Canis lupus familiaris: one gene and its partner. The protein of the gene in region 1 interacts with the protein of each later gene in a pairwise test. Links are inferred from orthologs where the notes say so. Each region holds a gene or a part of one and is shown on either strand. Other genes may lie near its edges.

Region 1 (3,814 bases):
CTGCAATACTGGTCTCCTGGCCCCTAGTTTTGTCCTCTTCCAATTTATTCTCCAAACAGCAATGGATCTCATAGGAACAAAACTAAAACAAACAAACAATTCAGTTGTCATTCCTTTGGCTTAAAGCCTGTTAATGGATTTCCAATGAACCTAGAATCAAGCCCTGATTCCTTACCCTGGCTCTACACGATCTGCGCTCCTGTCCCCAACCTCCATCTCAATGACCCTCTCTTATACTGCTCTCCCCTCACTCACTATGCTCCTGGCCAACACTCGCCTACTGACTGTTCTTAGAACATGCAAAACATTTTCCCAGCCCAGAAACCCAAACAGGCTTTGCCCTGTGGTTCAAATGCTTTCTCCACGTTCTTCACTTAGCTAGTCCCTTCTTATCCTTTACATCGCTCTTATCTTTTACATCGCCCATAAACATTGGTGCCACACAGAGGCCTTCCATGATGATTCTTGTGGAATTACTGCATCTTTTGATTAAGATGCAGTAATTAACAGATTAACAGATTCCTGTTTATTTCCTCCATTGCACTTATCACAATTCATCATTACCTTTTTCTTTTTGTTTACTATAGAATTTCAGCACCTAGCACAGTGCACAGCACATAGTAAGCACATACTTACCATGTAAAATGTAAGCCCTACATTTTTAGGTCAAGTTCCCTGGGAAACAGACTCTGAGGTGGACCTTTGCACCCAAGAGGTTTACTGGGGAGTACTCATAGGAATAACACCTGTGAGGGAGCAAAAGAAGAAGCAAAATTGGGCAGAGAAGTTGAACTGTGATGCAGTTGCAACAAAAGTCTCAGTTGATTCCATAAGGAACTCTGAATCTGGGATGGCCTTTCAGAGTTGCCTTGAATAGAGGCAAGGCATTAGTGGCTTACCTGGGGTAGTGTAACTTGGGGTAGGTTAGGCTAGTGGTAACAGAGAGTTACTATTAGTTACTAATAGTAACAGAGTTACTATTCTAAGCACATCATTCATTTAATCTTCACAACACAACACCCCTATAAGGTGGGTACTGTCATTATCCTTATTTTACAGATGAGACTGAGGCATAGAAAGGACATATAATTCAACCAAGTTCATAGAGCTAGTAAGTGGCAGGGTCAGGACTTAAACTTAGACAATTGGCTCCAGAGTCTGTTCTCAATTACCTACTATACTGCAGTCCCCAAAACATTGTAAAATTTCAATTTTGAAGTTTACTTTTTAAAAATTCTGAACTTTATTCTCATTTCATAATGATCATATCCAAAAAACAGCACAGATCACTGTTTCATACCTTCAGATTAAAAAATAACAACCTTGGGGCACCTGCCGGGCTCAGTTGGTAGAACATGCAACTCTTGATCTCCAGGACATAAGTTCAAGCCCCACATTGGGTATGAAGCCTACTTAAAATGAAATTTAAAAAAAATATTAACTTCACCATTTTTCTTCTTGAAGATCTGGTTGTTCTGAGATGAACAAGAGGATTCCCCACCACAGTTGACTCTATACAATAAAAGAAGTTTAAATGTTGTAGTGCAAATTTTAACAAGGCCTTCATGATTTAGAGTCTCTGGGCTGTCTGAGCTGTCTCCATGTGCTGTGAAATGCCCCTCTCTCAATTCACCAAACAGCTGCATGTGTCTGTTCAATGCACTCTTAAAAAAAGCAAGATTTTGTGGACATGTATGCCTTTTCTTTTTTTTTTTTTTTTTTTAATTTTTTTTTTTAATTTATTTATGATAGTCACACAGAGAGAGAGAGAGAGAGGCAGAGACACAGGCAGAGGGAGAAGCAGGCTCCATGCACCAGGAGCCCGATATGGGATTCGATCCCGGGTCTCCAGGATCGCACCCCGGGCCAAAGGCAGGCGCTAAACCACTGCGCCACCCAGGGATCCCCATGTATGCCTTTTCATCAAGAGTTTATTTTCAGGATATACTCAAAGCTTGAATTTTCACTTAGATTAATATCATTGACCCTGAGTTAGTTGTGATATAAATATTGGAGATTAGGAGATCTGGTTTTAGTTTTTGTTGTGCTGTTAAGCTAGTTGTATGGTCTTGGGAAAATCAGTCATCTGTTTTAAATGATTTAGGGAGAAACAAGGAATTTTAGTATATTTAGTATATTTAGAATCAATTTTTTTCTTATAGGAATCTGATTTTCTTTGTCTTCTTGGAGTAAGTTATTCATTTGAAAATGAAGACAGTGAATTAAGCAATGATGATGGCAAAAATATACATCCATATGAAGAAGATAAGGACCAAAAATCTAGTGTATATGACAGTGATTTTCAGACAGAATCTGGATTTTATTCACCTTCTGAAAGTACTTGGTTTGAAGATCAATTTCCAGCATCAGAGGCTCCTGAAGATATCAGAAGTACTACTGAATCAAAAGAGTGGGAAGGAGTAGAAGCTGGAAGTATGGAAGAGGATTCTGTTCCAGAAGTGGATCATATCCTGCCATCCTCAACTGTGTCTGAAGTGAAAGGATGGTTTGGATTCGGAAGGGAACAAGCTGAAGGAAAGACTTTTGAATCAGTTATTGAACCTCTAGAAGAAAGTTCATTTCAAAGTAGAAAAATGGCAGGAGAAGATGGGAATGACCTGGAGGAATTAAATAATGATAAACACCAAACAGAACAAAAGCAAGAACCTGAACTGGAATTCTATTCATTGCCAAAGAAACAATCTGAAGTAGATTCTGAATCAGAGAACATTATCAGTCCTCAAGCCACTGGCTGGTTTGGGGGTAGTTTTAAAAGTTATTTAGGTTTTGGAGATGAGAATAGAGGGCTTGAATTATTGCCTAAAGAAAGCAATCCACCACTACAAGATGTTCTTGATTCTATATCATCTGAGGAAGAACCCACGGTTCCATGCACAGAAATATCAACAGAAAAAGAAGACATAATTGCCAATGATACCTCAATTCTCAGGCCAAGTTGGTTTGATTTTGGTTTTGGTATGCTAGGCTTTGTATACACCAATGAACATAAAATTGTATCAGATGATGGAAAAAGTGAAGAAGGAGGTGGAGGAGATAAACACGAACATCCTCCAACAAGTAAATTTGACCCTGATATGGAACAAGAAATAAAAACAATAAAAAGTATGGAAACTGAAGATCAAGTAGACACAGAAAGAGTCTTAGAGAACACGGATGATTTTGATACCTTACCATATTTTAAAAAGTTCCTATATAATTTTGACAACCCCTGGAACTTCCAGGACATTTCAAAGGAGACAGAATTGCCATTTTCTAAACAGATACAGGATGAAGAAAATGTAATTGAAAATGATGAAACAGAAGAATTTTCAGCTGAAAATTATCACACAGGTAATATGAAACTTATAATGTTGAAAGGCAGATACAGTCAGGTTGGTATAAAATATTTATAATATAATTTGTTTTTAAAATATAATTAATTCTTATAAGTACAAATTGGATGAAAAAGTCCAGAAATCCATGTTTCTCAAAATATTCAATAATCAACAACATTATCAATTATCCTTTTAATATTTTCTGGTTTACTGTGGGACTTAGATCTTAATATAATGAAATACCAAGGGAGAAAGAATGATTGGAGATACATATATGTTCCAAGAAGATCTTAAGGTATTTTACAATAAATTCTTATTTTTTTCCAAAATAGTATAGTAAATAGGTTTAAAAATATAAATAGTACTAAGGCTTTTTTTTTTTCCTTTTTAAACAAAAGTAGTTTCTGTTCCCTCTGTCCATTTCTACTCTCACCTCTGTCCTAGGGACAGTAATTTCTTTCTTTTTTTTTTTTAAGTAA
Region 2 (4,365 bases), on another chromosome or scaffold:
AAAGATTTTATTTGAGAGAGAGAGAGCAAGAGAGCGGGCATGAAATGGCAGAAGGGCAGAGGGAGGAGAAGCAGACACCCCTCTGAGCAGGGAGTTTCAGCACAGGGCTCGATCCCAGGACCCTGGAATCATGACCTGAGCCAAGGCAGACGCTTAACCCACTGAGCCACCCAGACACCCCTCCTTCTCATTTTTTTTTGAAGATTTATTCATGAGTGACCCAGAAAGAGAGGCAGAGCCATAAGCAGAGGGAGAAACAGGCTCCCCTGATGTGGAACTCGATCTCAGGCCCCCAAGATCATGCCCTGAGCAGAAGCCAGATGCTTAACCACTGAGCCACCCAGGTGCCCCCTCTTTCTCATTCTTGCCCTTTTGCTCTTCCTTGAATCCACCAAACTTGCTCCTGTCTCAGGGCCTTTGTACTTGCTGTTATCTTAGAATGCTCTTCAACTTGACGTTTGTTTGATGGCTCCTTTATTTCTTCTGCTCAATGACCTTGTCAGAGAGGCCCTCCTCAACCACACTATATAAACTTACATACCCTACATGTCCACATCACTTTCTAGATCCTTTATCTGGCTGTACATTTCTCCCATATAATTTGTCACTTCCATGTAAGGTGGTTCACCCAGCTGAGGGAGGAAAAGAGTCCTAAAATCCAGTCCAACCTCTGTTCCCAAAGCTTTACTGCTTAGGAGGGGCCTGAGTCTGGCTGGAGGAAGAAGCTTCTTTTTTTTTTTCCTTTTCTAATTCACACAAAGTTGTTGCCTATTTCCCTGGCCCTGTGACTTTTTCTAACTTGCAGAGACATCAGACTATTTACTAATAGCCCTGTTTTTCTTATTCTAGTAGAATAGAAGCTCCAGAAGAGCAAAATCGTTGTCTATTTTTTCACTACTGCTTCCTTAATGCTTAAAACAGTATTGGGCACATAGCAGGTATTTCTCAATATGTTTTTTCTTCTGGTTGGATGGACAAAACCATGGGGAGTGAGAGAAACTCACAGAGTACCAATGTGATTGTGAGTGTCAAGATGTAACTAAGGTTTATATTTGGGGACAGGGTGAAGATGGCAAAGAAAGAAAAAAACAGCACACAGTTTTGGAACTCTGAGAGTTTAACATTTAAAAAAAATTTTTTTTTAAGATTTTATGAGAGAGAGAGAGAGAGAGAGAGAGAGAGGGGCAGAGACACAGGCCGAAGGAGAAGCAGGCTCCATGCAGGGAGCCCGACGTGGGACTCGATCCCGAGTCTCCAGGATCACGCCCTGGGCTGAAGGCGGCGCTAAACTGCTGAGCCACCCCGGCTGCTAAACTGCTGAGCCACCTGGGCTGCCCCATTTTTTGTTTTTAATTTGACTTCTGATTTTACAGGTGCATGGCTTTTGGTCAAAGCTAATTAAATAGAAGTAGAACCAGACTATCATTTTTAGAATGGGAATTCAGGGCCTGTTCTGGTACCTCACTTCACAATGATGGGCAGGAAACCGAGTTCAAGAAAGAGAAGTTACATTTCATCTACTTAAGAGTCAACTCCTAGAACAAAAACGTTATAAAACTTTTCAACTTGATGAAGACCAACTTAAGGGTAAGGGAAATCAGTGTTAGAGAACAGAAAACTAGTTCTTTCTTATCCCCCCTTTGTGTTAAATATTGTTCAAAGAGTCACAAAACTCTGCAGCTTGCCATCAAAGAATCCTGGGGACTGGGGGTGGGTGGGTTAGAAAGCCAGTGGTCACAAATATGCTCATTGTAAGGGTAAGAAAACTCAGACTCAGGGGCTGTGATTTGCCCCAGGCCACACAAGAGTCCAAACTAGAGCCCTGAAACCTTGAAGCGGAGTTCATTGTTCTGCTAGGAAAGAGTATAAAGGGGGTGGGATCTTTCTAAAATTTTGGCTCACGACTTTACAGGTATGGATTTAAACCCTAAAAGGGTGTCCAGGTTTTACCTCAGAGATATTTAAGCAAATTCATTTATATAGCTCCTCCAGCCTAACTGCAGAAAGGCTATCTTGGCAGTCTTGGGTCAACAGCAATTAAACTTCAACCTGGAACTGGAAAGAACAAACACCAAATGCAAATACCACCTTTCAAGTTCTTGGTAAATATTTTCCTTCTCTCTCTACCAAGTCTGTTTTGGTGGTGGTGGTGGTGCGTGTGCGTCTGTGTGTTGAAAACAAGGACAGCGGGGATCCCTGGGTGGCCCAGCGGTTTAGCGCCTGCCTTCATCCCAGGGCCTGACCCTGGAGACCCGGGATCGAATCCCACGTCGGGCTCCCGGTGCATGGAGCCTGCTTCTCCCTCTGCCTGTGTCTCTGCCTCTCTCTCTCTGTGTCTATCATGAATAAATAAAATCTTAAAAAAAAAAGAAAAGAAAACAAGGACATAGCATCAGCTTGACTTGTCCTAGGCCCCTGGCTCACTGTCGGGCTCGTGTTGACACCCTTACCCCTAGCTGGCCCCAGCTGCCCCTGCACCTGTCGGGTCTGCATTACCCTTACCCCCGTGTGTTCCGGGCCCCTGAAGAGTCGTGGCATCAGAACACCTGCTGCGTAAGTGGGGGCGACGCGGGGTTTGCCAAACGCGCCCCACCTCTCGAAGACAGCGTCGGGAGCAGCACTACCGGCCCATTCCTTAAGCTACTCCCTCCCTGCGCTCGGCTTTCGTGATCAAGCGCAGCTCAAACCTTACCGGGACGGGCGTCACGGTCACACCTGAGCCCTTCCTCGGGGGCCGGGAGAGCGCCCCGACAGCCGGGAACGGCGGCTGCTCCCTCCCAGCCCGCGACGGGGCTTCCCGTCAACCCGGGAGCTCGAGTCCCTTTCAGGGAAACTACGGGGGACGAAGGGCAGCCCGGCTGGCTCAGCGGTTTAGCGTCGCCTTCGGCCCAGGATGTGACCCTGGAGACTCCGGATCGAGTCCCATGTCAGGCTCCTTGTAGGGAGCCTGCTTCTCCCTCTGCCTGTGCCTCTGCTCTTTCTGTATCTCTCATGAATAAATAAATAAAATCTTTAAACAAACAAAAAAGAAACAGGTGACGAAGCGCCCGCAGCACCGGTGGAGACGGGAAAGCCCAGGGTCCGGGAGGAGCTCCCGCGCTGCGGCCGCGGGCTTTCCGGCGCCGGAAGTGCCCCGCGTCGCCATGGCGACCGACGCCGACGCCGCTCGCGGCGCGGTCGGCGGCGTTCCGTTCCCGTGGCAACCCCGGCGTCCCCGCGCCGGAACCCGGGCTTCGCGCGCGCCGCGCCGACCGAGCCGAGGGCCTCGCTTCCGCCGGGCATCCGTGAGGCGCCCTGAGGCGGGTGCGCCGACGCCGACGCGGTCGGAGGGAGCGGAGCGCGCGGGCTGAGGGAGCGGCCAGGCTCGTTCCGGGGCGTGGCTTCCCCGCCCCCCAGGTGCGCGGCCCCGCCCCCGCCCCCGCCGCCGCCTCCAGGTGGGGGCCGCCGTGGCTGCAGCACCCGCGGGGAAGCGGCCTCCGAGGCTCGGGTGGGGCCTGGTGGAGCCTCCTGGAGCGCAGTTTCGGAGTCTGAGAACTCAGAGCTCCTCCCCCCCGCCCTCGGGGCTATGGTTTTGGAAGCAGAGATTAGAAAGCGAAATTAAGCTCTTTCTGGTGTTTGGACTGTGGATGTTCAGGCTCCTCAGGTGGGAATGAGTGACATTCTGCAGGGTGAGATGAGCGGCTTTCGATTCCGATTTTCTTTTCTTTTTTTTTTTTTAAGATTTTATTTATTTATTGAGAGACACAGAAGCAGAGACACAGGCGGAGGGAGAAGCAGGCCCCTGCAGGGAGCCCGACGTGGGACTCGATCCCGATCCCGGGTCTCCAGGGTCACGCCCTGGGCTGCAGGCGGCGCTAACCGCTGAGCCACCGGGGCTGCCCTCGATTCCCATTTGATCTAGGCAACAGGGAGAGCCATGAGAATTGAATTTCACAGATAATTATAAATCAGATTTTTGTCATGAGGTTTCAGCCGTTTCCCCCATCAACTAAGGACAATACCCAAACGGACGCGTGTGGGTCCTTGACTGGGCCTCCCTATTAAATTAGCGGGCTAGCCCTAGGGGCAAGGAGAGTTAACCAGTGCATTGGCCATACTCATTTAATGCTTAAAACTGGTTGCTTTGCTTGGCTCCATCTGGCAAAAACAGTATCTGACTTGAGTAGGAGAACCTAGTTTTGATGATTCAGGAGCTGTAAATATACTGGCTTTAGGGAGGTAAAAAAAAAAAAAAATCAGGGATTTTGGAGGTACTATGGAGTGGGAATTAGGGGAAAGATTTAATTCAGAGGTTTAATTTGGCAAATGCCATTAATTTCTGCTTTACAGGTATCTCTATACATTAGTGTGTATATTGGATTTGTG

What was found.
Region 2: the proteins of MIA2 (region 1) and TTC23L interact in binary tests that used the Homo sapiens proteins (3 or more experiments, as listed by UniProt). The two-hybrid records come from large-scale screens. The link is inferred for Canis lupus familiaris from reciprocal best matches to the Homo sapiens genes MIA2 and TTC23L.

Annotation. Positions count from the first base shown.
Region 1 is NC_049229.1:17,565,365-17,569,178, forward strand, and holds part of MIA2 (melanoma inhibitory activity protein 2), read left to right. Parts: intron 1-636; exon of another isoform or gene 637-747; intron 748-1,447; exon of another isoform or gene 1,448-1,513; intron 1,514-2,162; coding exon 2,163-3,351; intron 3,352-3,814. UniProt on the Homo sapiens protein: Plays a role in the transport of cargos that are too large to fit into COPII-coated vesicles and require specific mechanisms to be incorporated into membrane-bound carriers and exported from the endoplasmic reticulum.
Region 2 is NC_049225.1:74,362,898-74,367,262, reverse strand, and holds the start of TTC23L (tetratricopeptide repeat protein 23-like), read left to right. Parts: upstream 1-1,436; 5' UTR 1,437-1,569; coding exon 1,570-1,587; intron 1,588-1,983; coding exon 1,984-2,102; intron 2,103-3,267; exon of another isoform or gene 3,268-3,396; intron 3,397-3,423; exon of another isoform or gene 3,424-3,626; coding exon of another isoform or gene 3,627-3,643; exon of another isoform or gene 3,644-3,668; intron 3,669-4,365.